Linked DNA regions of Danio rerio. The protein of the gene in region 3 interacts with the protein of the main gene of each other region in a pairwise test. Links are inferred from orthologs where the notes say so. Each region holds a gene or a part of one and is shown on either strand. Other genes may lie near its edges. The genes, in order: smarca2, nkapd1, bend7, psmf1, ppp1r37, eaf2 and eaf1.

What was found.
Region 1: the proteins of bend7 (region 3) and smarca2 interact in binary tests that used the Homo sapiens proteins (3 or more experiments, as listed by UniProt). The two-hybrid records come from large-scale screens. The link is inferred for Danio rerio from reciprocal best matches to the Homo sapiens genes BEND7 and SMARCA2.
Region 2: the proteins of bend7 (region 3) and nkapd1 interact in binary tests that used the Homo sapiens proteins (3 or more experiments, as listed by UniProt). The two-hybrid records come from large-scale screens. The link is inferred for Danio rerio from reciprocal best matches to the Homo sapiens genes BEND7 and NKAPD1.
Region 4: the proteins of bend7 (region 3) and psmf1 interact in a two-hybrid assay, tested with the Homo sapiens proteins (2 studies listed by BioGRID and IntAct). The two-hybrid records come from large-scale screens. The link is inferred for Danio rerio from reciprocal best matches to the Homo sapiens genes BEND7 and PSMF1.
Region 5: the proteins of bend7 (region 3) and ppp1r37 interact in binary tests that used the Homo sapiens proteins (3 or more experiments, as listed by UniProt). The two-hybrid records come from large-scale screens. The link is inferred for Danio rerio from reciprocal best matches to the Homo sapiens genes BEND7 and PPP1R37.
Region 6: the proteins of bend7 (region 3) and eaf2 interact in binary tests that used the Homo sapiens proteins (3 or more experiments, as listed by UniProt). The two-hybrid records come from large-scale screens. The link is inferred for Danio rerio from reciprocal best matches to the Homo sapiens genes BEND7 and EAF2.
Region 7: the proteins of bend7 (region 3) and eaf1 interact in binary tests that used the Homo sapiens proteins (3 or more experiments, as listed by UniProt). The two-hybrid records come from large-scale screens. The link is inferred for Danio rerio from reciprocal best matches to the Homo sapiens genes BEND7 and EAF1.

The regions. Positions count from the first base shown.
Region 1 is NC_133180.1:46,069,891-46,073,390, reverse strand, and holds part of smarca2 (probable global transcription activator SNF2L2), read right to left. Parts: intron 1,041-3,500; coding exon 798-1,040; intron 687-797; coding exon 573-686; intron 1-572. UniProt on the Homo sapiens protein: ATPase involved in transcriptional activation and repression of select genes by chromatin remodeling (alteration of DNA-nucleosome topology).
Region 2 is NC_133190.1:24,179,335-24,181,497, reverse strand, and holds the end of nkapd1 (uncharacterized protein NKAPD1), read right to left. Parts: intron 1,332-2,163; coding exon 920-1,331; 3' UTR 501-919; downstream 1-500.
Region 3 is NC_133193.1:9,572,772-9,576,271, forward strand, and holds part of bend7 (BEN domain-containing protein 7), read right to left. Parts: coding exon 3,374-3,500; intron 697-3,373; coding exon 565-696; intron 298-564; coding exon 14-297; intron 1-13.
Region 4 is NC_133181.1:54,454,113-54,457,612, reverse strand, and holds part of psmf1 (proteasome inhibitor PI31 subunit), read left to right. Parts: intron 1-1,819; coding exon 1,820-2,008; intron 2,009-3,500. UniProt on the Homo sapiens protein: Plays an important role in control of proteasome function. Inhibits the hydrolysis of protein and peptide substrates by the 20S proteasome. Also inhibits the activation of the proteasome by the proteasome regulatory proteins PA700 and PA28.
Region 5 is NC_133193.1:52,033,762-52,037,261, reverse strand, and holds part of ppp1r37 (protein phosphatase 1 regulatory subunit 37), read right to left. Parts: intron 3,089-3,500; coding exon 2,922-3,088; intron 1,462-2,921; coding exon 531-1,461; intron 1-530. UniProt on the Homo sapiens protein: Inhibits phosphatase activity of protein phosphatase 1 (PP1) complexes.
Region 6 is NC_133184.1:24,619,797-24,623,845, reverse strand, and holds the start of eaf2 (ELL-associated factor 2), read right to left. Parts: upstream 2,801-4,049; 5' UTR 2,696-2,800; coding exon 2,593-2,695; intron 2,119-2,592; coding exon 2,024-2,118; intron 1,942-2,023; coding exon 1,805-1,941; intron 1,700-1,804; coding exon 1,536-1,699; intron 1-1,535. UniProt on the Homo sapiens protein: Acts as a transcriptional transactivator of TCEA1 elongation activity. Acts as a transcriptional transactivator of ELL and ELL2 elongation activities. Potent inducer of apoptosis in prostatic and non-prostatic cell lines.
Region 7 is NC_133191.1:7,236,221-7,239,720, forward strand, and holds part of eaf1 (ELL-associated factor 1), read left to right. Parts: exon of another isoform or gene 1-569; intron 570-1,121; exon of another isoform or gene 1,122-1,318; coding exon 1,319-1,525; intron 1,526-3,500. UniProt on the Homo sapiens protein: Acts as a transcriptional transactivator of ELL and ELL2 elongation activities.

The DNA.
Region 1 (3,500 bases), on a different chromosome or scaffold from region 3:
CAATGTTGTTTTTTGTACATTAAATGTTTTTAACAAAATCTCATACATATTGCACTTAAAAATCTTAAAGGGCACCTTATATATATATATATATATATATTTTTTTTTTTACTTATTGTTGAAAATGTTTCAACTAAGTTTCCATGAAAATCCGCCATACAGTCTTACAGTTATAACTGTCCCTTTGAGGGCAGCCTAATGCTAAAATGGCCCTCAGTGAAAATTAGTTTGACACCCTTGTTTTAGAATTATGCATTCTAATGTTATAGTTCTTGGTGGCCTTTACAGTATTTCACGATATCTGTGAAAATGCGTCAACACAGTATGTGAAAAAGGCAGTGACTATGTGTTGATTTCTGTGTGCAGTGAACCAAAGCAGACAGATGCTAAATGTCACTGAATGCTCTTTTCACTATCAGCTAATAATAAAATACATACACACAGACACAGACACAGACACAGACACACACACACACACACACACACACACACACACACACACACACACACACACACACACACACACACACACACACACACACACACACAAGAGACAAAGTGGATACACTTACTTTCTCAGGTAACTGAGACTCCACCTCTTTCTTCAGTCTGCGCAATAAGAAGGGACGCAACACCTTATGCAAACGACGAATGATGAGGATGGTCTCCTCTTCATTCAGATCCACCTAACAAACATCAGCGCAACCCCATAACCAAGAAAAAAAGTCATTAAAATACAGTGTAAGACGTAAAATAGACATCTCTAAATCTCTAAAGATTCAAATATGACAGTTTACCCTTTCTCCTGTCATTGCAAAAGGAGCATTGAACCACTGCTCAAAGGTGCTGCAGCTTTTGAAGATAGTGGGTAAGAGGAAGTTGAGCAGGGCCCAGAGCTCAGGTAATTTGTTCTGCAGGGGAGTACCAGTGAGCAACAGCCTCCTGGGAGCAACGTAGTGGGTGTTCAACACCTGTGTGAGCTTGCAGTGATGGTTCTTCATACGGTGACCCTCGTCCACAATCATATACTTCCAGCGAATCTGAAAATGACAGTTCGGCAGTCACAAACTGGATTAGAAGATCAACTCACAGGTATTGCAAAAGCAGACGCGTCACATTCAGCTTAAAAAAAGCAGTCCAAAGGATGTAATTTAATCACCAAAAGAAATGACTATGAGATGGAATAAAGTGTCATAAATGACTTTGAGAAAAAAGAGAAAGCACAATGCATATAATTATAACTCTCCATATGAGGCATATAGACTTCATTTAAGCCACAGAAAGCTTGCTAAAAAGATCTTCCAGCAAATTCCCCAACCTAGAATGACGTTAACAATGATATGGGAGAAATTGTTAGTTAATGTGAGAGGTGATCTGTGGTCATTCATTCATTTCCTTCAATTTAGTCCCTTTATTCATCCGGGTCGCCACATCAGAATGAACCATCAACTTATCCAGAATACTGAATGTTTTACACAGAGGATGCCCTTACAGCAGCAACCCAGTGCAGGGAAACACCCATACACTAACGCCTGTTTCACACCGCAAGCGTCAGCGGCGCGTGAGCAGAGCGTGAGCAGCGAGTATGTCGAGCAGTAGCAGCACGCAGGCGTTTGCCTTTCACACCAGCTGCGTCTGCAGCGCGCAGCTCTTCGGCAGCTGCTGCAGAGATCAACCTATCTCTGTCTATTCTATCTAGTTACCTATGTCTCTCTATATACAAATACACTTTTCAAACTTTTCATCTGCACCAAGGCCCCTCCTATGCTGTTTCTTTAACCGGCAAATGTTTATTTTACAAATTCTATAGATCAAATAGTGCTGTATGCTTCTCAATCTAACTTATATAAGAAGCGTCTACAGTCAGAAGACAATCGCCTGTGATATCATGTCATTTGTTTTTTATTATCAGGTTGCTGTAGACCTAGTTATAATAATATTTATACAATATAGTTATAATGATATTTATACATGATCAAACTAGTGTTACTTTCTCCGCTTCAGTGATGTCCAGCGGCAGAAAAACAGCTCGTTAATTCATGCTCGTGCAGAGGATGAGACGGACGAAAGTAACCAATGCATGCCATTCTTTTACTTATTTTCGTGTTGTCAGATTCAGAGTGCAAAAAGCTCCCGGTAGGAATAACTCGAGTAAACATAAAACAAAGCCGATAAAAACTTTCTTGCTCTGCTCAGCTGCACAGAACACAGCGAGCTCACATCATCCAGCATGCGTGTCGAACTACACTACCCACAATACACTTCGCTATGGACTACAATTCCCGTAAATATTCTATTTCCCCTCTCCTACAACACTAGTGTGCAACTTAAGCAAAACTGATACTAAAATTGTTTTACATTTGGTTTTGTAGTTCGGGCCTAAATAAATGTTTGTTGCCGTTTTTAATCGTTTTAAGTTCATTTGAATGACTATATATAAACCATTGGACATTATTAACGCATTTATTGGGTAAAATTGCTACTTTTTACTGTCATTCAATGTGTTTTGGTCATTATCAAAGCACTGTCACTTTAATTGAGCGTGAGCAGCGCGTCAAAAATAGACCCAGCGCCGAAACTATCGCTGCACTGCTGCTTCGGCGACGCTCACGCCTCGCTCTGACGCGCTGCTGCTGCGTGCGGTGTGAAAGCTCTAAGCTGTTAACATGGACGCCGAAAACACACGCGCTGCTCACGCTCTGCTCACGCGCCGCTGACGCTTGCGGTGTGAAACAGGCGTAACATTAAAGCACATACACTACGGACCATTTAGTTAATTCAATTCACCTATAGCGCATGTCTTTGGACTGTGGGGAAAACGGGAGCACACAGTGAGAACATGCAAACGCCACACAGAAATGACAACTAAGCAAGCTGGGACTCAAACCAGCAACCTTCTTGCTGTGAGGTGACAGTGCAAACCACTGCGCCACCGTGTTGCTGCAATCTGTGATGCAGTAGGATTTGGAATAATGTCTTGAGCTTGGTGCTTGGGAGAAAAGCCTGAGAGGCATCATTAGGTGTTTACACAAGAAAAATGATGTTTAAATTTTACAGATCTTAGTTCTTAACTCTTTTCTGGTATGCAAACCTCTTTACTAGATTAGTGGTTTCTCTAAACTTCCAGAGAATGAATCAACTGATGAAATGTACCCTACTGCCGGTAGGGATGGGTACCGAAACTCGGTATTTTATCAGTCTTGGTGCTAAATTATAAAAGACCGAAGAATCAATAAGCTCTGATGTTAACGGTTCTGCTATCAGTACTGGAGAATTATTGCTGAATAAACATTATTTACAGCAAAGAGCTTAGAATGACCAAGAGGCGACACTCTGGTGTAATTTGGGAAACAGCCACTAGAGGGCGGGGCGGCCATTTTGGAATGAAAACACCAATAGAACACCATGCATATTATAAGTCTGTAAAATAAACTATTAAAAGTGCCGATGTTCGTGATAATACGTGTTGTATTGTCGTCTTTCAGGTTGTATCTCAACTT
Region 2 (2,163 bases), on a different chromosome or scaffold from region 3:
ATTAGCAAGGGGAAGTAGCCATTATCAGTAAATGGAAGTAAACAGTAGAAATAATAGCATTTACCGTAGGTGTTTACAAGTGACTGAGTAAAAACAGGTCGTTAAAAGACAAGCTAGCCGCTTTGAGATGATGGTCTGATGCAGTGCAACAGCGCCACCTAACGGGCAACTGTAGTATGATGACTATTCAAGTGTACTGAAACTGGAAGGATTAGTTCTGCCAGGGCAAAAAGCAAATATGCTGTTAATTTACCTTAGTATAACAATAAAAAATGTTTAGCTGAAACCGTTGTCCTTAGTGATTCATTTGAAATTAAACCAAGCATATAGAAAGCAAAGTAATTTAATTTAATAATGTAAGTGTTGTGTTATGCTTCTTAAGACCTCAATGTATCACCAGGACCCAAGGGAATTAATATAAATTTGCTTGGATGTTTTTATGACTCTCAAAGTGCTACTAGCTGCAGACTTGCATTTTCAGAATCACCAAAAACTTTTCCATAACGTTTTTTTAATTAAGAGCAAATTTAAGTTTCTCTGTGAACTGTCCCTTTAACAAACACTAATGCTGTTTGGAAAACAAAACTACACTGTATTATTGTGACTGGCAGGTTTGAGTATGAAAGTATGACATGAATACAAGAATATTTATAAAAATCAGACACGTTACAGAATTCCCTGAGTTTTCTATTATATTTAAAATGTTTCAGTCTGACAACAAGCATAATAAGAAAATGGTTAAAAAAATTGAAAATAACCTCATAAAATCAGACAAGTTCTCCTGGATGCCAACATGGTGGAAAAAAGCCATCAATGAGGGATAAACACTGATCTACTGACTCCAGATGAATGAGCAAGAGTCTCCGCAAAATGAACATGATGCACATTTTTAAAAGCAGAGTGTAGTTGAGCTGAAAGGTCAAGCATCAGAGCTCTCCTCTGATCTCTCCTCGTTCGCTACTTTCCAGTTTTTCCTCTTTTTCCTTTGAGGCTCAGTCAGTGTGTCTGTTTCAGGACACTCTCTTTTCCTGTGGGTTTTTGGCTTTGTGTCTGAACGGCTGTCCTCTGTGCTGCTGTCCTCAGTTCTGTCTTTGTTTTTGTGCTCTTTTTTCTTATGTTTGCTTTTACTCCCCTTTCTCCTCTGTTTCCTCCTCACGGTCTCCTCTGCATCACTGCAGGTCTCTGAGCCAGGCGCCGCCGTCTTCCTTTTCTTCTTCTCTTTCTTCCTTTTCTTCTTCTTAGATGACTTCTTGGAAGATTTCTCCAAGTCAGCGTTCAGTTTGTTCTTGTGTTTTTTCTTTCTATGTTTACTATCACTGCAAGCTTTCTCTCTGGAAAAAAATGAATAATATAGAGTTAAACAAACCAAATTAAAATATTTTAGTTCTATCTATCTATCTATCTATCTATCTATCTATCTATCTATCTATCTATCTATCTATCTATCTATCTATCTATCTATCTATCTAATATTATATTTGTGCATATACATTAGTTTAGTCAGTACTGAAGCCAAATTTGGAGCTTATCTAACAAAATTACTCACTATAATAGTTTAAAAATTTGTAGCCCAAATTTATGTCAGGGAAAAACATTTAAAAACACTTTTAAAAATAGCAAAAATCAAGAGAAACAAAAAATGTATAAAATTTAGTATAAAATTGTAAAATGTATAAAGATTTTTTTCAATATTTTGCATGAATTTAATTGCATTATCTTTTAATTTCTAAATATGTGTGGTGACTAAAATATTATTTTAATAAATATATCTGTTCAATAAATCTGTTTTGTTTAAATGCACCAAAATACATTGCCTATATTCACTGAGAAATGGAAAAAAATATTAATATTCAAAAAGGGGTGTACTCAATCATGCTGCACACTGTATTCTATGTAATCTATTTAAAATTATTTATTTAATTTACTAAAAATGAAAACAGGGACCTTTAACCTTTGTATTTACATGTTTTGCTATTATGGTAACTTTTAAGAGCCATTACAAAAATCATTATAGTTGTACAGCATTGTATATATGTACTGAGTAATGATTAAAACATGACTGCTTTTTTAAATTTTAATATATATATATATATATATATATATATATATATATATATATATATATATATATATATTTGGTGAATAATAAAAATTCTGTAACAA
Region 3 (3,500 bases):
CATTCAGATTCACCTCAGTGTTGTTTTGTCCTCCGCTGACGCTGTAGTGAGGGGAAGTTTTCTTTACAGTGGGAAAGTGGTCTGGTGTAAATGTAGCCACAGTGGAGGGCGTGTCCTCTCTGGACTGATCACACTCATTCACAGCATCCGCAGAAGGGGAGGGGGGCGTGGCTCTCTTTGTGGGCGTGACCAGAAGAGCCACTCTGTGACCCAGCCTCCTCTTTCGGCTCCTCCTCCTGGAGATGGAGGTTCGAGACGAGGAAAGCGAGACGTGAGAGCCCTGTTTGTCCTGCAGCCCTGAGAGCACAGCACAGCATAGAATACCACGGGTCATTTTTCACTCACATTCTTGTTATGATAATCTTTGTGTCATTTTTTGGTGGTCAAACGAGCATCAATGTGTGGATGCCAAATAGACAGCAAGGTTTTTAACCTGTTTTTTGATGTCGTTGATGATCCTACTGGGATAATGCATTTAAGGCTGGTCAAAATCTTGTGACATTTGCTTTAATCTGCAAGATCCTGAAGGGTCAGTCTGAGAGCACATGATTGAGTGTGTTTTACCTCTGTGAGTTTGGAGTAGTTTCCTCATGGTGCGCAGCTCCAGCAGAATGGCCTTCAGGGTGCTCTTGCAGTTGCACATACAGCAGCTGGGCTCTGTTGCCATGGCAGCAGGCGCGGGGGGCAAGGCCATGTCTGAATCACAAACACATATGCAGCATCAGTGGCGATGTCTGACACCCGGCGGCTCCAAGCACGTCTGACTCCGGTGTGTGTGTGTGTGTGTGTGTGTGTGTATGTATGTGGCTCAGGCTAACTGTGAGGGAGGTTTTGTGTCTTTTATTGTGTACTGAAGGAGGACATTACGCATTTGCTGTGTTATCCAGAGCTGTCTAGACATGTGTCAGACAGTGCATCTTCCTGCAGCCTGTGGTCACAAAATGCAAGGTTCAAGTAATGTCTTACTGTTTTTAGCAGAGGCAAGACTTAAAAATCATGAGATAAAATAAATAAATCAGTCATTTCTATGTAGTTTAAGTTGGAGTACCAATAGTTGAAAGAAAAAAAACACACAACAAAATTAAATGATGAAAAACATTTAAAGAAACTCTAAATATTAACTATATATATATATTTAGAATTTTTAAAATGTAAAATTTAAAATATCATTATTTTCATTCATTTTCTTTTTGGCTTAGATGCTTTATTAATCAGGGGTCGCCACAGCGTAATGAACCGCCAACTTTTTCAGCATATGTTTTACGCAGCGGATGCCCTTCCAATCGCAACCCAACACTGGGAAACACCCATACATACACGTTTGCATTACACACATACACTACAGACAATTTGTTTTATTCAATTCACTTAAAGCGCATGTCTTTGGACTTGTAGGGGAAACCGGAGCACCTGGAGGATACCCACACTAACACGGGGAAACATGCAAACTCCACAAAGAACTGCCAACTGTTCCAGTTGGCGTTTGAACCAGCAACCTTCTTGCTACCCACTTAGAATACACCCAAATACAATATATGAAAGAAGGCATACAAATAAAACTACTAAATTAAGAGTTCATATTTTTAAACATGAATAAACACAAATAAATTCTATAATAAATCATTTATATTATCTAATTTATAAATCATTCTGTCATTATTATATTACTTAATAATATAGAGTAATAAACCAAAAATTGCAATATTTAGGTTGAAAATGGACTCTTTCAGGGTTTTAGTTATTTGCCAAGGCAACATTTGCAATTTTGGTTTAGTTTTCGTAGAAGTGCAAACATTACTACAACTGAAAATGACTAAAAAAAGACTTAAATTAAATAAACAACAGAAAAAAACAGAAAAACACATAATACACACTAATTAATTAAATAACTAAAAACAATATAAAAAATTAAACATGAATTAATGATATAATACCACATAATGCATTATAATAATAATAATAATCATCAATGTAGCATAGTGGGATAATAAAGGGACTAGACCAAAGAAAAATGAATGAATGAATGAATGTATTTAAATATGTATACAAATGTAATTAAAATACTTGTCTGAAGAACAGAAGGCTTACAAATATAAATACTAAAATAAGACTTCATATTTTTAAATATGTATAGACCAGAAAAAATTCTAGAATAATTTATAATATTGAATAAATTATTATTTCATTAGTATATTACTTAATTAATGATAGACCTTGTACTTGAACCTTTTGTGGATTGCTTATCATCTAAAATCCTAACAACTTGTCTTAAAAAAGTATATTTACTCTTTCTGTATTGTAGTTATTTGTCAAGTTTATATTAAGAATATAAACTTGACAAACGGCAGAGAACATTACAAACACTGAAAATAACTAAACTAAAAAATAAATATAATCAAAGAAACAAACAAATAAACACCAAAACAACAAAATAGTCTGAAATTAAATTACAAAATATGTAAATAAATGAAATCAGCAAAATGCCATAAATGCCATATTAAAAAATAATGAATTATAATAATAAGTTACAAAATGCTTAAACTACGGAAGTGAGGATTTATGAGCTATTATAGTGACAAATGACATAATAAAAAATTATATACAGTTTAAGTCATAATTATTAGCCCCTCTTTGAATTCTTTTTTTTTTTTTTTTAATATTTCCCAAATGATGTTTAACAGAGCAAGGAAATGTCACAGTATGTCTGATAATATTTTTTCTTCTGGAAAAAGTCTTTTTTGTTTTATTTCAGCTAGAATAAAAGTAGTTCTTAATTTTTTAAAATACATTTTAAGTACAAAATTATTAGCCCCTTTAAGCTAACTTTTTTTTTGATAGTCTACAGAACAAACCATCGTTATACAATAACTTGCCTAATTACCCTAACCGGCCTAGTTAAGCCTTTAAATGTCTCTTTAAGCTGTATAGAAGTGTCTTGGAAAAATTCTAGTAAAATATGATTTACTGTCATCATGGCAAAGACAAAATAAATCAGTTATTCGAAATGAGTTACGAAATCTATTATTTGTAGAAATTTGTTGAAAAAATCTTCTCTCTGTTAAACAGAAATGGGGTAAAAAATAAACGGGGTTAATAATTCAGGGGGGCTAATAATTCTGACTTCAACTGTACATAAAAATAAAATAATTATATTCATAAGTTCCTAAATGATGATACTAAATGCTTAAACTACAATAGGGATTATTTATGAGCTATCATTATTACTGTGTCCGGTCCTGGTCCTGGAAGACCAAAGTGAGAATTTAACAGCAACCAGCTACAGCAAATCTTTCTGAAAGTCTCTAATAACAATTTGCATGTGTTGAATTGGGAATGGACAGGTCTGGACACACCTCTGGTCTCTAAGACTCACCATTAGTTTTGCAGTGGTTGAGCATCCTCTGTGTTTTGGATCGAGTGCTGTACTGGCTTTGAGAGAGAGGCATGACTGAGCTCCAGTTGTACTGCAGATGTTCAGGGGTCGCGCTGTGTATCACAGG
Region 4 (3,500 bases), on a different chromosome or scaffold from region 3:
TCCGCTGTGGCGATCCCTGTTTAATGAAGGGACTAATCCGAAAAGAAAATGAATGAATGTGCCATATACTGTCTCACATCATGAATCATAGAACGGTAGAAAGTATCTGAAGAAATATACTGAAAAAAACTCAAACTTAGAACGAGAATCATTTGATGACTCTAACATTCTCGAGTCATTTTGAACCTTTATACATTGCCAAAAATATTTTATTTTCACAAACGTATGAAAGTAAAGACTTGCATTTATATTTCCCATGAAGTCCTTTGAAATGTAAGTTTTTTTAATTCGATGTTTGATCTCAACTGAAACATGAAGACAGGGCAGGGGTCCATTCTTCGTACGTGGATTACTCAGTTAGCTGGATTTGGATATTGACGATTTGACAACATCCAGGATCGTTTCGTTCTTTAAAGCTGATCCAAGAGTTGTTGTCAAAGCAACAGTTCTGCTAGGTCAAACCTGATCGGGGGCAGGTTCAATTCATATAAACAGGATTAGAACCGGCTCAGTTCAAGCAAAGATAATAAAGTATGTTCCGAATTCTGATATTTTCTTACAGTAGTAGTTGTATACACTTGGGAAAATGGTAAATATTTTAACTATATATATATATATATATTATATATATAAGTTATAGTTATTAATAAAATAAATATAGTTATATATATTAATAAAACTTATGCAATCTGCACCCTCAAAATGAAAGTTCAAAGACTGCCCCCTGGTGGTGTGAAGTGAAAACTTATTGATTAAACTTTTTAGATCGCTTTAGTACAATGGAGTTTTTTTTAAAGCAGTAATACATTAATGCAGTCATAAACATGTTTTGATAGTTATGCCAGTGATTTGATGCTTCACAAAAGTTGCAGACGCCTTTACCAATGTCAAAATGCTTTTGTAAACATCCAGTTATTCTTTACACCGATTAAAAAAACGGCTACTATAATAAAGAAAATCTTTTCTAAATGTAGAACTAAATACATTGATTTGCATTGAAATACATGAAGAATACTCTTGACACATGAAAGTGTAAAGCCTGCAGCTCACAACAAATGTGGAAGGTTATTGCGTTTCATATTCAACAAGCCATTTACTGCTAATTTGATGTAATTTTGCTCACATGGATAATTAAATATTAATCAGATGATGTCATTACCATGCTGTGCCGTCAGCCAATCGTTGCATTGCTGATCATGATTTCGAGGATCGATAGATCTGTCCTTCACAACACACACAGCGATCTCAGATCAGTTCATCCAGACATTCTAATCTGATTCGCGAACATGTTTGAAGAACCAAATTAGCGAGAGATCAGTTATCGAGATGAAAAGATCCAGGATCTGCCAAATCATCTTAGATCATTTAAACGAGATACGAAGAACGGACCCCAGGACACAGAGTAGCTCCTTCCCTTTTTTAAAAAAAACAGCCTATAACGTTAAATTTTTATTAAAGCTCTGCCAGTGATCGAGCTCAAGTGCATCAAATGAAAAGCAAATGAGAAGTGTTTTTAAGGGTGCGGGACTTTTTAGATATTAGAAAGCATTTGATTGGTCAGAAGATTTAATGAGAAACTGAAATATGAGGGGATGTCAAAAATAATTGTTGATCCAGTTAGTCAGAAGTGTCAAACTGCATGATGCAAATTTTGTCACAGTGGAGCACACTAGCTTATAAATAACCCTGAACACTATCATACTAATACCAACATCTTAAAACTTTAAATTCAAAGTACCTTTAAAATGCTTTACAATCACTTTTGTCAATTTAATATGATTTAAGGTATTCATTCACACACTCTGTGTTTTTCTTTCAGCGTGTTTAAGAACACAGATGAGTTGACTGCGAAACTGAAGTCCTCGCTGCTGCCTTCCAAAAAAGAGGAGCGTCAAGGAAAGACAGAGAAGAAGACAGAAAGAGAACGAGCATCCAACTTAAGGGACCCAGACAGTGATCCTCTCCTGATCCCAACCAGAGGCCCTCCAGCCAGACACCCTGCAAACTGGTGAAGTTCTCTATTTTCTTATACAAATTGTGCATTGATTATTATTATTTTTATTTTTTTTGCAGTGTCACCTTTTAAATGGGTCCTAATTAACTTCCACGGCATCATGCTTTAGTTTTAGTGTCCATTTACCTCAAGCATGAAAACAATAAATATAAATATGTGTCCACATAGAACAGTGTTTCTCAACCACGTTTCTGGAGGACCACCAACACTGCATGTTTTGGATGTCTCCTTTGTCTGTCACACCCATTACTGCTTTTTCAGTGTCTGCTAATTAGCTGATGATCAGGTGTGTTTGGTTAAAGAGACATGAGCTGGGTCCAAAATCACATACTTCCATACTATATAGTATACTAAAAACAGCATGCGAGCCAAGTAGTATGCCAGAATTCATAGAGTTTGAAAAACAGTATGCGAGAAGTGCTCAGATGACTTACTACTTCCGGGGAGATTCTGAAGTGCGCATCCTATGCATGCTGCGCCAGGGCCGGAGTGGGACTCCTTTTCAGCCCTGGAGTTTCAAGCCTCAGACCGGCCCACCTCAGTTCACGACTGACTATATTAAAATAAGGTCATTTCCAAATCAGTTTCTAATGACACCATCACGTCTTTTTTTGAGAAAACAGCTGCTTTAGAACTTCAAATGTTCAACAACCCTAACAGTATTATATGTCTTAACAATAAAAATGAAAACAATAAGTTACTCAATCGAGGATCGAACCCGGGTCCGCAGCGTCTTAATCTAACGTGCTAACCGCTGGACCAAATTAGCTGTGTTGAGAGAGGAGACAAAACTAAATTAGATGAAAAGAGAACAGTTGCGGTAGAATAATGAATAGAAAGGCTGTGGTCAAGTAAATAAATAAATGTAAAAAGTGTGACTGCTGAGAGCAACAGATTCTGCAGCTAGGGACACCGGCCCTCGCGGCCAAAAAACGGACCGGCCCACCGGGAATTCTCCCGGTCCTCCCAATTAGCCAATCCGGGCCTGTGCTGCGCTATCCCATGATGCAAGAGAATTCATTAATAGGAGTAAAGCGTGACAAGATGGCGGATGTAGTACGTCCGAGTTCCATTCATACTACTCCCATTCATACTGTATAGAACAGGGGTGGCCAATCCTGTTCCTGGAGATCTACCTTCCTGCAGATTTCAGTTGCAACCCTTATCAAACACACCTGTCTGTAATTATTAAGTGGATTTCAGGTTCTAATTAATTGGTTCAGGTGGGTTTAATCAGGGTAGGAGCTAAACTATACAGGAAGGTAGATCTCCAGGAACAGGATCAAGCACCCCTGGTATAGAACATACTTTTCTAATGGTCGAGTAGTAAATTTAAATTCAAATGTAGTACCCACTGAGTAGTAGGCGATGTCAGACACAGCCACAGAAAATGTGCAGAGCTGGTGGTCCTCCAGGAACGCTGTTGAGAAACACATAGATGAACGATAATGATGTTTATTTTCAGATTATGCTTTAAATTGGGCAT
Region 5 (3,500 bases), about 42 Mb from region 3:
GCCGGTGTTGTCAATCGGACGAACCCTAATACGTACATAGCAGAGCTTGCAAAACTGTGTTTGTTTTTTTTCGAAAACACGAAGGTTGTCAACGTAACTCACTGGAAATCCAAAATGCTTCCACACCGGTGACTTCATTGAAAAAGGAGAGGGTTTAAGCTTTGTCTCCTGCTTCAGCAGTTCAACAAGCGTGTTTTTTTCCCGCTTGGCAAGCCAAGCTGACGTGACATGGGGGCGTGGCAGCATCGACGATTCTATTTTTTGATTTGATAATCGAAATTAAGCATAAATTTAAAATCGAAATCGTGACACCCCTATTAAATATGTTTCAGTAGTTTCTGTTATTTAATTATGACACATAACTAATTTTTCAGATTTGTTTAGTTTTATTTTCATGTGTGTATTGTTTGGGTTTTTACCAAAATCTGCTTCAACTTCATGTCGACAGCTCCTCTAGAAAAAGTTCTCCCAGGAGTAAACATGACAATGTGTTGAAAGCTTATCGTCAGGTGAATGCAGCGTGAACTCACCGTGCTCCATGATACAGCTGGCTGGTTTGGCTCCCTCAAACTCAAACAAGGCAAACTCTGGCTTCAGACCGTTGGGCAGCGGCGCTCCTGTGTTTGCGTCTTCATTTATATCAGCTTCATTGTTTAGTGTTTCTGCTTTCTTCTGCTCCTCCTCACTGACACTCTCTGTCAACTGAGTCTGGTCAATATTAGCATCCAGACTCGGTGTGCTTGTGGATACTGAATCCTCCTGCTGTGCATCTGGTGTCTTTTCTGCATGCGATTTCTCTGTGGGTTGTGTTGAATTCTGCGTCTGCGAAGGTGCTTTTATATCAGTTATTGCTGACGGCTGGATGCTTTTGAGCATTGCGATACTCGTCTGCTGCTGCTCGGGAGGGCTTTCCACACGGGTTACCATGAAGATTTTGTGTCCTCTTCCTGGACTGGACACTGAAATACATCGTCCAGGAGATGACGGTGTGACAATGCTGGCTTCTGTTACTGTAATTCCTGAAATGACGGCTGGAGATGCTATAGGAGGAGTGGAGGGGATGGTTTTACTGGTGTCTGCTGCAGCTGGAATGGGTATTGGAGATGTGGATGTTAATGAAGTGTTTGTTGGCGTTTCTTCATCTTCAGTGTCTGAATCTGAATCATCCTGCGGTGTTGATTCCTGATCTTTGGGCTCTTGGTTTTCAGACACTTCACTGCTCTCCTGGGTTGCATCTTTCGGAGCGTCTGTGGTTTCTTCTTCGATTTTCTTCAAAGGGGATGCTTCTTCTTCTTCTTCTTCTTCGTGGGTTTGGTCCTCAGTGGCGATTTCTGCCATTGAAGCCGAGAGTCTCATCTTCTGCTCGGTTTCTTCCTTCTCTCTGGCCAATATGAAGTTCCTCTTGCAGCCGTTCTGGATGTCGGCCAGCAGGGCGCGCTGTGTCTCAATGAAACTCTTCACCTGGAAACACAGATGCAGTGCGGGGATGCAATAAACAGTGTCAATGTCACACACCTGCTGAACACTCGTATATATAATTACCTGTAAAAAATGTAAACTGCTTTTATTTTTTTAAAGAAAAAGATTTCCACAGGCGGCTAATAGTTTTGCCTTCAGCTGTATATCAATACACATCACCAGTGGTGTGCAGTAAAAAAAGAGAGGTGCTTCTGATGCCTGTGTGTCAGCATAGTGGCAGATTCAAAAACAAGACTATCATCCTATGCTAATGAGGGAGAGATGGTCACTAGTGGGCGGGGCTTTCCCCCTCTGATGACACGTACAAAGGGAGAATGCCAACCAGCAGACTGTTTTAATCAAGTCTAATTAGGGGCCAAGCGCCGTAGGTGTGTAGGCAACTATTGCTTTCGTTAGCGTTCCTATTATTATTATTCTTCTTCCGTTTCTTCCGCCGGATTTGAATGGCAGCCCATATAGGCATATGCGGGAAAGTTGTATAATTTGGCACAAGGATAGAGGACAGTCTTAACATTAATCAGACCAAATATGAAGTCTCAACATCAAACTCTCTAGCGCCACCACTGGTCCAAACTTTCACGTGTATTTATCATGATAACTTTTGAACCGAATGGGCTACAATCAAAATTCTATTTTTTCCTCTGATTCCTTGGCTCAGTCCGATACAAACGCATCCTACGACGTCATTTTCTGTCATGAATTTTTTCGCACTTTTTAAAATTTTTCGAAAAACCTATTTGATTGAATTCGTCCTAGGCCGTGTCTCCGATTTTCACCAAAATTTAAACACATGATCTACAGACCATGCCAACCCAAATTTATGGAATTCAAGTTGATTAGACCACATGTTTTCGTTTAACTTGCAATCAAATGTAACGTAGAACTTGCGAAAATGGATTTGAGGCGATATCTCCGTAACGCATTCACTGATTCACACCAAACTTGGTGTGTGTTATGACAACTAGGGTCTGAGGTTATATGCAGAGTTTCGGCGAACTGCCCCCTAGTGGTCCGGAGATAGGAAAAAAATAGCTTTTTTGGTTTATAACGTCTCAACCTTTCGTCCGAAACTCATAAAACTGGTCTCATTACATCCGGCAGAGCATGTCGAATTTTCACAGGTCAGCCATTTTGGGCATCGCCCATTTCGATTTTTGGCCAAAAATGCTATATTTTAACAACATATTCACATATCATTACAAAACATGGTATGCATCTTCAACCCCATGCCCTGAAAGTACTCAAAAACTTCTGGAGCAGCGCCACCTATTTATAAATGATTCACTTTTACCATTAGAGGATGTTTAAATTCACACAACTGTTTCAACCCCTTACAAAAGTGATTTTTGCATAATTTAAAACCAATGGTTCATGTAATATGTTAAAGTTGCCTGTCTGTATTAGCTCAGTCCTGCTGTATATGAGATTCTCCCAGCTCTCACCGTCTCCTTCTTGGGCTCTCGGTCCAGGTCGAGTCTCAGTAAAGACGTGTTGACTTTAAATGCTAGAGAGAGAGCCATGAGGCCTCCGGTCTTGATCTCGTTTTCTCGCATGTCCAGCCGGAGCAGCCTTGGACTCTCAGCGATGAACTCTGCGATGGCCACCGCTCCTGTTACACACACACACACACACACACACACACACACACACACACACACACACACACACACACACACACACACACACACACACACACACAAACACACAAACACACACAAACACACACACACACACACACACACACACACACACACACACCCGCATGCACGCACACAAACAAACACACACAAACACACACACACACAACAAATAAAATATTAATTATAAAATTATAATTTTTTATACATATAAACCCATTTTAACAAACCCTAAATACACTGCCTAAAAAACTATAAAAATAAATAAATAAATAAAAAATAAAAAAAATTAAAGGAAAAGTAATTATAAAAAAAAAATTGTAAAAAAGGGCTGCCAAATCTTTTTAAAATAAAAAAATAAAATAAATAAATAAATAAATACAT
Region 6 (4,049 bases), on a different chromosome or scaffold from region 3:
CCATCCATCCATCCATTCATCATCTATCTATTCATCCATCCATCAAACTTTTTTTTTTTTTTTTTTTTTTTTTTTTAGAGAAAATGAGTATAAAAAATGCACTTTTATGATTTATTAATTTTTTTTTTTTATGGTTGTCTCCTTCAATATTTCAAGACCAGGAAAAAATATAAAGTTGTGTTATAACCTTGTAATACCTCTACAGCAACATTAAGAACTGTACTTACTAGGTTCAGATGGTTTTGAGGGACAAAATTGAAAAAGATTTAATAATCCAGGACTATTACACTAAATCGATCACAACCATCATAATTATTGTTAAATGAGGAAACACTTTAACTGTCATTTCATTGTATTATGTTTATATCTCCACAATTTGCATTAGATTTCTTTTAGAATAACTAAATCACAGTCATTTGAGACCACAGGCTTGCAGTATAATCAGGGTTTCTTCCAATCATTCCATATCCGTTTCCAAAAAAAAAAAAAAAAAAAAACGGAAAACGGATGTTTTTTGGTTTTTCTTTTGCTCACAAAAACCTACATTTTGGCTGGATTTTCATTTTTTATTTTAGGGGAGGAAAACGGATCAATGACTTTAAAATTCATTAAACACATGTAAGCAGTGCTGAAAGCCCTTTTTCCTCTGATTGGCTAACCAAGTCTAAGCTCATGACGTCGCCCTCAAAATAATAGTCCTCTGAGGATCTGCACCCAGGCTTTTTATCATTATTATTTATTTTATATATAAACTAAGTTTAAATATCCTAGTATTTAATCAGTTAGCAGGCTTACATTCATTGCGTATGCATAAGTTAAATAAAAACATAAATTAGCAGTATAGTTACACATGTCATTAAAAGAAGGCAATAGTTCGTAGCAAAACGTCTTGCTGCTGTGCGCCTGATGCCGAGTAAAGATAGCCTTTTCTGAGCATAACCTAGTTTGCATTATTGTTTCAGAGCTACTGTAGGCCTAAATAATAATAATAATAATAATAATAATAATAATAGTAGTAGGCTTATAATAAATATTATTGTTTACTTTGTGTTTTTTTATTGTCTAGTTTTTTAAATAATTGTTAGCAGGACCAGAACAAGAACACATTGGGCCCTAGGGCTATAACAAAAGATACCATTAGTTTTTTTTACATTTTTATTTCCTCTTATTTTAAATATATATATATATATATATATATATATATATATATATATATATAGGACTATTGTTTTGAAGACAACGTGATGAGCTCAGATTTCATTCGTCAGATGAAAAAGGGCGTTTCAACATCGCCTACATGTGTATAATGAATTTAAAAGTAGTATCCATTTTCCTACAATAAACCCCAAAAAAAAAAAAAAAAAAAAAAAAGAGCCAAAAGTTTTCCCTTTTTTTCAAACGGTTTAAAAACAGATATGGAATGGACGGAAGATACCATGAATCAATATAATATGTGGATCAGTTATGGATGTGAAACTGATGATTTGTTGCAGGAATCTTTTTTTTTTTTTTTTAATTTGGACCAGACATGTTACCTCGCTCAATATCATCCATAGGAGATGATGGAGACATCTTTTCTTTGGGAGGAGAGCTCTTGGTGCTGGATGGAGCCTTGCTTCCGCTACCCGTCTTCATCTGCTGGCTGAGTCTGCTGGTTTGTTGCTCCAGCCGTGACTGAATCTTACTGCTTCCCTCAGCCCTGGACAGAAAAGAGAATTTGACAATTTATTTACTTCACATACAATTCAAAGGATTAGAAGGAAGCATCATATTTATATGACTTGAAACTCAAAAGTGTTTTTACCTGGTCTTCTTGACCGCAATGTTGTTGCTGAGTTTCTCCAGACGATACTCTCCTGTGTCATGGTTAACAATCAGAATACACTCCTTCATATAAGGCCTTTTAGAGCCTTTAAATACAGTAACTGGTGCTGTGGATCCCTGAAAGGGTTGATTGGAGAGAAAAAGACTCAAGAATCATTCATTTTACGTACACTTCAGAATGTAAGGTTATGAAACCTACTTCCAAGTTCGGTAATGTGATTGTAACTTGCTCTCCTTTTCCCACTTCCAGCTCCCCCTCACATGTAGTGTCTATGGAGGCTGGTTTGAAATCATCTGTGTCCAGGAAGAACATATTTCTTGATATTCAGGTGTGCTATTATTACTGACACGTACAGTACACAGTAAAACAAACATCGTAGTATCATTGCAGAACCTACAGAGGGCGCGTGTTTCCCATGAAAGATCATTATTCTTCATGAATTAAATGGCTCTCAAAATTTCATTAAAACGACAAGTTTTCGACTAACAAAAAAGGCTGTTTATTTATAATAGTTTTCGTTGTGAGCACAAAGACAGGATGCTTTTTTAAATGATCCCCAAACAACATACAAAGCCGAGTTTAAGCCAGCAAGGTGGAAAAGCACATAGCTGCCTCCTGATATGCCTGTGCGTTTTCTTTGAAAACAATATATGGTTTCGGTGTTAACTTAAAAAACACCTCGTTTTCTTTTTCAAAATATGACTCACATTATCGTGTTTATATGATCATTTTGAAATACCGCTAGCAATATAAAAGATGCAACTTACATCGTACCGTGTGGAATGCACTTTTAGGTTGTTTCTCAAAAGTTTCGCCTAGTTTGAGGACGTGTTCTTGACTGTCAAAGTTTGAATATGCTGTTCCATTCATTCTAATCCAAATTTTCAACCATATATTAGCGATTTTCAACTTTCTGCTTGGTTTGATACCATCTAAGGCAGAAATAGACGCCTCACTTCTGGACCCGTTGCTCACGCTTGCTACGTTGGGATTGGCTGTGTTACTGCACTTGGTCACGCCTCATTTCGTTCACTTCTTGTCTGTAATTGGTTTAGAAGACAATCAGTCGACGCTGACGTAACGTTTGACGGAAGTGCCCATCTTTTCCCTTACACGCGTTTACACGACTGCACTGGTGCCCTCTAGTGTTCCCTAAGAATGCTTATTTGTATTTGTGCAGTTAACGATGACAAGTAAAAAAGTCTTGTCAGTTAAGAAAAAATAAAAATGACATGTTGAAACGTAGTTTGGGTCTAAAATAAATATTTTAAGGTATGTTCCAAACGGGTAATTTCATTAGCACAGACAATAAAATCATAATTCCTCATAAAATATTAAATTATATTAATAGATTATATGCCTTGCTGTGTTGGAATCGTTTTCTCTTTTCCCCCAAATATGTTTTGTTTCTTTAATAAAATCGTGCAGTTTGTTTGCATTGACGCAGAGAGAGTAACGTTATATGGGGTCTTCTGCTATCTAGAGGTCGCCGATTCATTTACGAGCAGCGCGTGTGTGGAGGAGAGAGACCGTCGACATGTCAACTCTACTAAAACAAATATCTAATGTAAGTATGATCATACACTACACTGTCATTTCTCCTGTATCTTTATATTAATGAGTCGGTTGTAAAAGTGACACGTTCATTAACGAAGCGGAGGCTAAATAAATGAATTGTCCCGTTCACTTCATATTTTGAGCGAGGGTTAACCAGCTTTCTGTCAGCTTAAGTATTTGTTATTTTCAGTTTAATGTTCACGGAATACCGTATACTAGGTTATCTTCAGTGTCATTCATCTTAAACGTAAAACTATTTCCATGAAGTCCACTGTTTCTGAAAACCTCAATAGAGATGGAGATTGGTTCAGCGGGAGCATGTGATGTAGGGAATTAGCAGGTTGCTGGGTGACTGTCTGTAAAACAAAGAAAAACATCCTTTGAGATCTAATATGATGGGGTGAAAATGAAGTCTGACACTACTTGTCATTAGATTAGATTAGAGATTCTGTATTTTATGCTGATCTGATGCTGAGTTTTAGATTCCATCTGTAAATGCTTGTAGCTTTATATATAATTGCATTTGAAAAAAGTGTGTGACCATGAATCAAGTAATGATGTAGAATCAATGAAAACATTTCCATTTCTGCACAAATTATAGGTCACACATGACATTTATTATGATTTATTTTACAGCTCTTACATATTTATTTACCAGCTTCAGAAA
Region 7 (3,500 bases), on a different chromosome or scaffold from region 3:
CTTAATATATGAAATAAAAAGTAATACATTACTGAATAAAAACTGAATGAATTCAGATTTACACATTTACTCAAGTGAATAAACTGAATTAATGATGGGCTAAAAATCTGCAGAAATCTGCGGAATTCTGCGCGTGCAGATTCCGTGTGGGCCTAGCAATAGGGTATATGCTGAAGCGTGCCAATAGGACTTTTAATTTGCCAGTAACCTGGGTTAACCGCTTCCGGTGAACTGTATGCCAAAGCAAAATCAAATGCGTTTATGGTCTGTTTTCTTTAAAAATCAGCGATCTCCATTGGTTGAGTGATATCCAATATAAAGTGTGTCTGAGATTGTACAAGAAGCACTGCATTAAATTACATTTTCACCGCCATGTCTTTATAAAAAGAGCATTCACTTTACTCCAGTATATTCAATGGAGCTTCTGCATTATCCTGCCGATTCTGTTGGTCACGTGCGAGTAAACAGGTTTTTGTCTCATTTTACGCTTGAGTAACTAAGTGAATACCAAAGTCTGTTTAACTGAATGTATTGAATTACATTACAACATTGATGCTGTAAAAGGAACCATATATAAAGCAGGGCTGAGCCTGGTTAGTACCTGGATGGGAGACCACTAGGGAACACTAGATTGCTGTTGGAAGTGGTGTTAGTGAGGCCAGCAGGGGGCGCTCAACCTGTGGTCTGTGTCCTGAGTCCTAACGCCCCAGTAAAAGTGAAGGGGACACTACACTGTCAGTGGGCGCCGTCTTTCGGATGAGACGTTAAACCGAGGTCCTGACTCTCTGTGGTCATTAAAAATCCCATGGCACTTCTCGTGAAAGAGCAGGGGTGTAACCCCGGTGTCCTGGCCAAAGTCCCTCTATCGGCCCTTACGATCATGGCCTCCCGATCATCCCCTTCCACCGAATTGGCTCTATCACTGTCTCTCCACTCCACCAATAGCTGGTGTGTGGTGAGCGCACTGGCGCCGTTGTCCTGTGGCTGCCGTCGCATCATCCAAGTGGATGCTGCACACCGGTGGTGGTGTGGAGACACCCCTCATGATTGTGAAGCGCTTTGGGTGTACGGACATACACATTAAGATGCGCTATATAAAAATACTCATTACATTACATTACATATAAAATGGAAAAAAAACTCACAATAACAGGTCACCAGACGTTTATCATTATGGGAGCAACACCAGCTCGGCATATACCCTGTATAAGACAGTTTTTTTTGGTCCAGGGTCATATATTGTGCGTCTGCAGTGTTGATGTAGCTTTTTCTCTGACTCTGCTGAATTGAACCAGTGTTTTTGATCTGTGTGTGTCAGAGCTGCGGGCCGAGGTGGACATGATCGAGCAGATGAGCAGCAGTGGCAGCAGCAGCTCTTCAGAATCTGCCAGTTGTTCAGGCAGCGGGAATGACGACAGTTCCTGCAGCGATGGAGAACAGGAAACACATCTCTCGCCCAGCAGGAACAACATGGCCAACGGAATGAACAAATCACAAGGCAACAACCAGCTGATGAACACACTCCGTAAGAAAACATATATATTACCCACACGAGACAAGCATACAGTGTAATATAACTATGAATGTTGTGCAAATAGGATATAACAATAATTAATAGGTTTTGATCCCAACTGTGCCACTTTGGTGACTGTCGCTTTAAATTCAAATGAGATTGTGCTCTTTTTACAAGAGGGCAGAGCTACAAATTAGGGATGTGTAATATGGCAAACCTTAGAAACACGATTTTCTAGAACAATATTAAGATTTTGATTTTAATAACAATTTTGACACACACAGATGTTTTACACCAGGGGTCACCAATCCAGTTCCTGGAGGGCCGGTGCCCTGCAGGGTTTAGCTCCAACTTCACCTCAACACACCTGCCTGGGTGTTTCAAGTATACCTACTAAGACCTTGGCTGTTTCTCAATCGGTTCTTCAGCGGCCTTGCAACCTCGTGTTCTTGTGTAACGTCATTATCAGCTGCCAAAGTTCAGTTCCAATACTCAAGACCGCAAGTACGGAGGACGCGTGAAACTTCCTGGATGTGATCTTGATATCGAGGACGCACTGATACAGACTTGAGCACCGAACTCGCTCTGGAAGTCCCAGAAGTCATTGCGACTGGAGGTGGGAAGCGCAGCATTTTATTTAGATTTATTATTAATGTTCAGAGATATCACTTATTTACCGCAGGAGTTTCCCTAAATGAAATGGTGAAAGTAAACATCACCATGAACATCTTAATAAAGGAATAAACACATTAAGGGTGTTTGTTTGCTGAAATTCGTATTAAAATCTGTTTTATTTATATTGTGCAGAGTATATTTATAATGTTTTTATGCAAAATATATATTTTGAAGAGGGGGAAAACAATAAATCGTTATATGAATGTTGTAATGTTTAAATAATTTCCATTTAAAACGCGTGAAGGTCATGTGACCATCAGGAAGAACGCAGCATCCCATTTCTTAAAGGACGCGTTCTCTGCCCTCGCGGTCTCCTGAGTTCGTTCTTCCGAAGACACCTGGCAAGACCGCTCTCCACAAGAACGCAAGTCCATTCTCTGCGTTCTTGGAATTGAGAAACAGCCCTTGATTAACTTTTAAATATTGGACCAAACTTTGTGATCTCATAACTTTGCGCCAGACTGTCTTACAGACTTAAGGTTGTGCTCATTTAACTCACTAGCAATCTGCCAATCACTTATGACCTTTCAACTTACTAGCCACACCCTAGCAACTGTCCCATAGTTTTGTGTTTGATTAGAGTTGGAGCTAAAATCTGCAGAACACCAGCCCTCCAGGAATAAGTTTGGTGATCCCTGTTTTACAGTATGAATCTAAAACATATTTTCAAAGGAAAACAATTACATCTATATCAAAGACCTGTAACATGTCTCTAAAACAGACACACACAAAAAATCTCGTAGTAAATGTGTAACAAATTGTCTCCAAAAATTGCGTGTGCGTGCATGTCGTCAGACTCAAGTAAGGATCCAATGTTCTGCTTGAGCACATATCAGAAGTAGTCACGTGTACTTTTCTATGTGTCTACAGATTTTTTTTCTATGTGTCTACAGATTTTTTTGTCATGCATAGATCATAGACCTCTTTGTGATGCTGCCATGAAACATGCTGTTCACATATCTATACTTTTGCGCTCATAAGTTTGTTATTTCCAATGGAATATTGGGAGTGTAGGGATAGTTTAACCCAAAGAATGACCAGTCTGGTAGATGAAGAAGAGCCGGAGTCAGATATTTAAATAAATAAATCAAGTTTACTGAAGATAGTTTGCAGTTTCATTCGCAGAAGCCAGCATCAACACTCGCAATAAGTTCCTAGGCCGCTCTGCTTACAATCACCAATCAATAACAATTATACTCTCCCATAACGTCATTAACTGCGGCATACATATAGGTGTTCTAACCTGATTGGTTAAAACACAGACTAGAAAAATTTCCACGTGGGGTTCGTGCGTACAATTCTGAACATTATC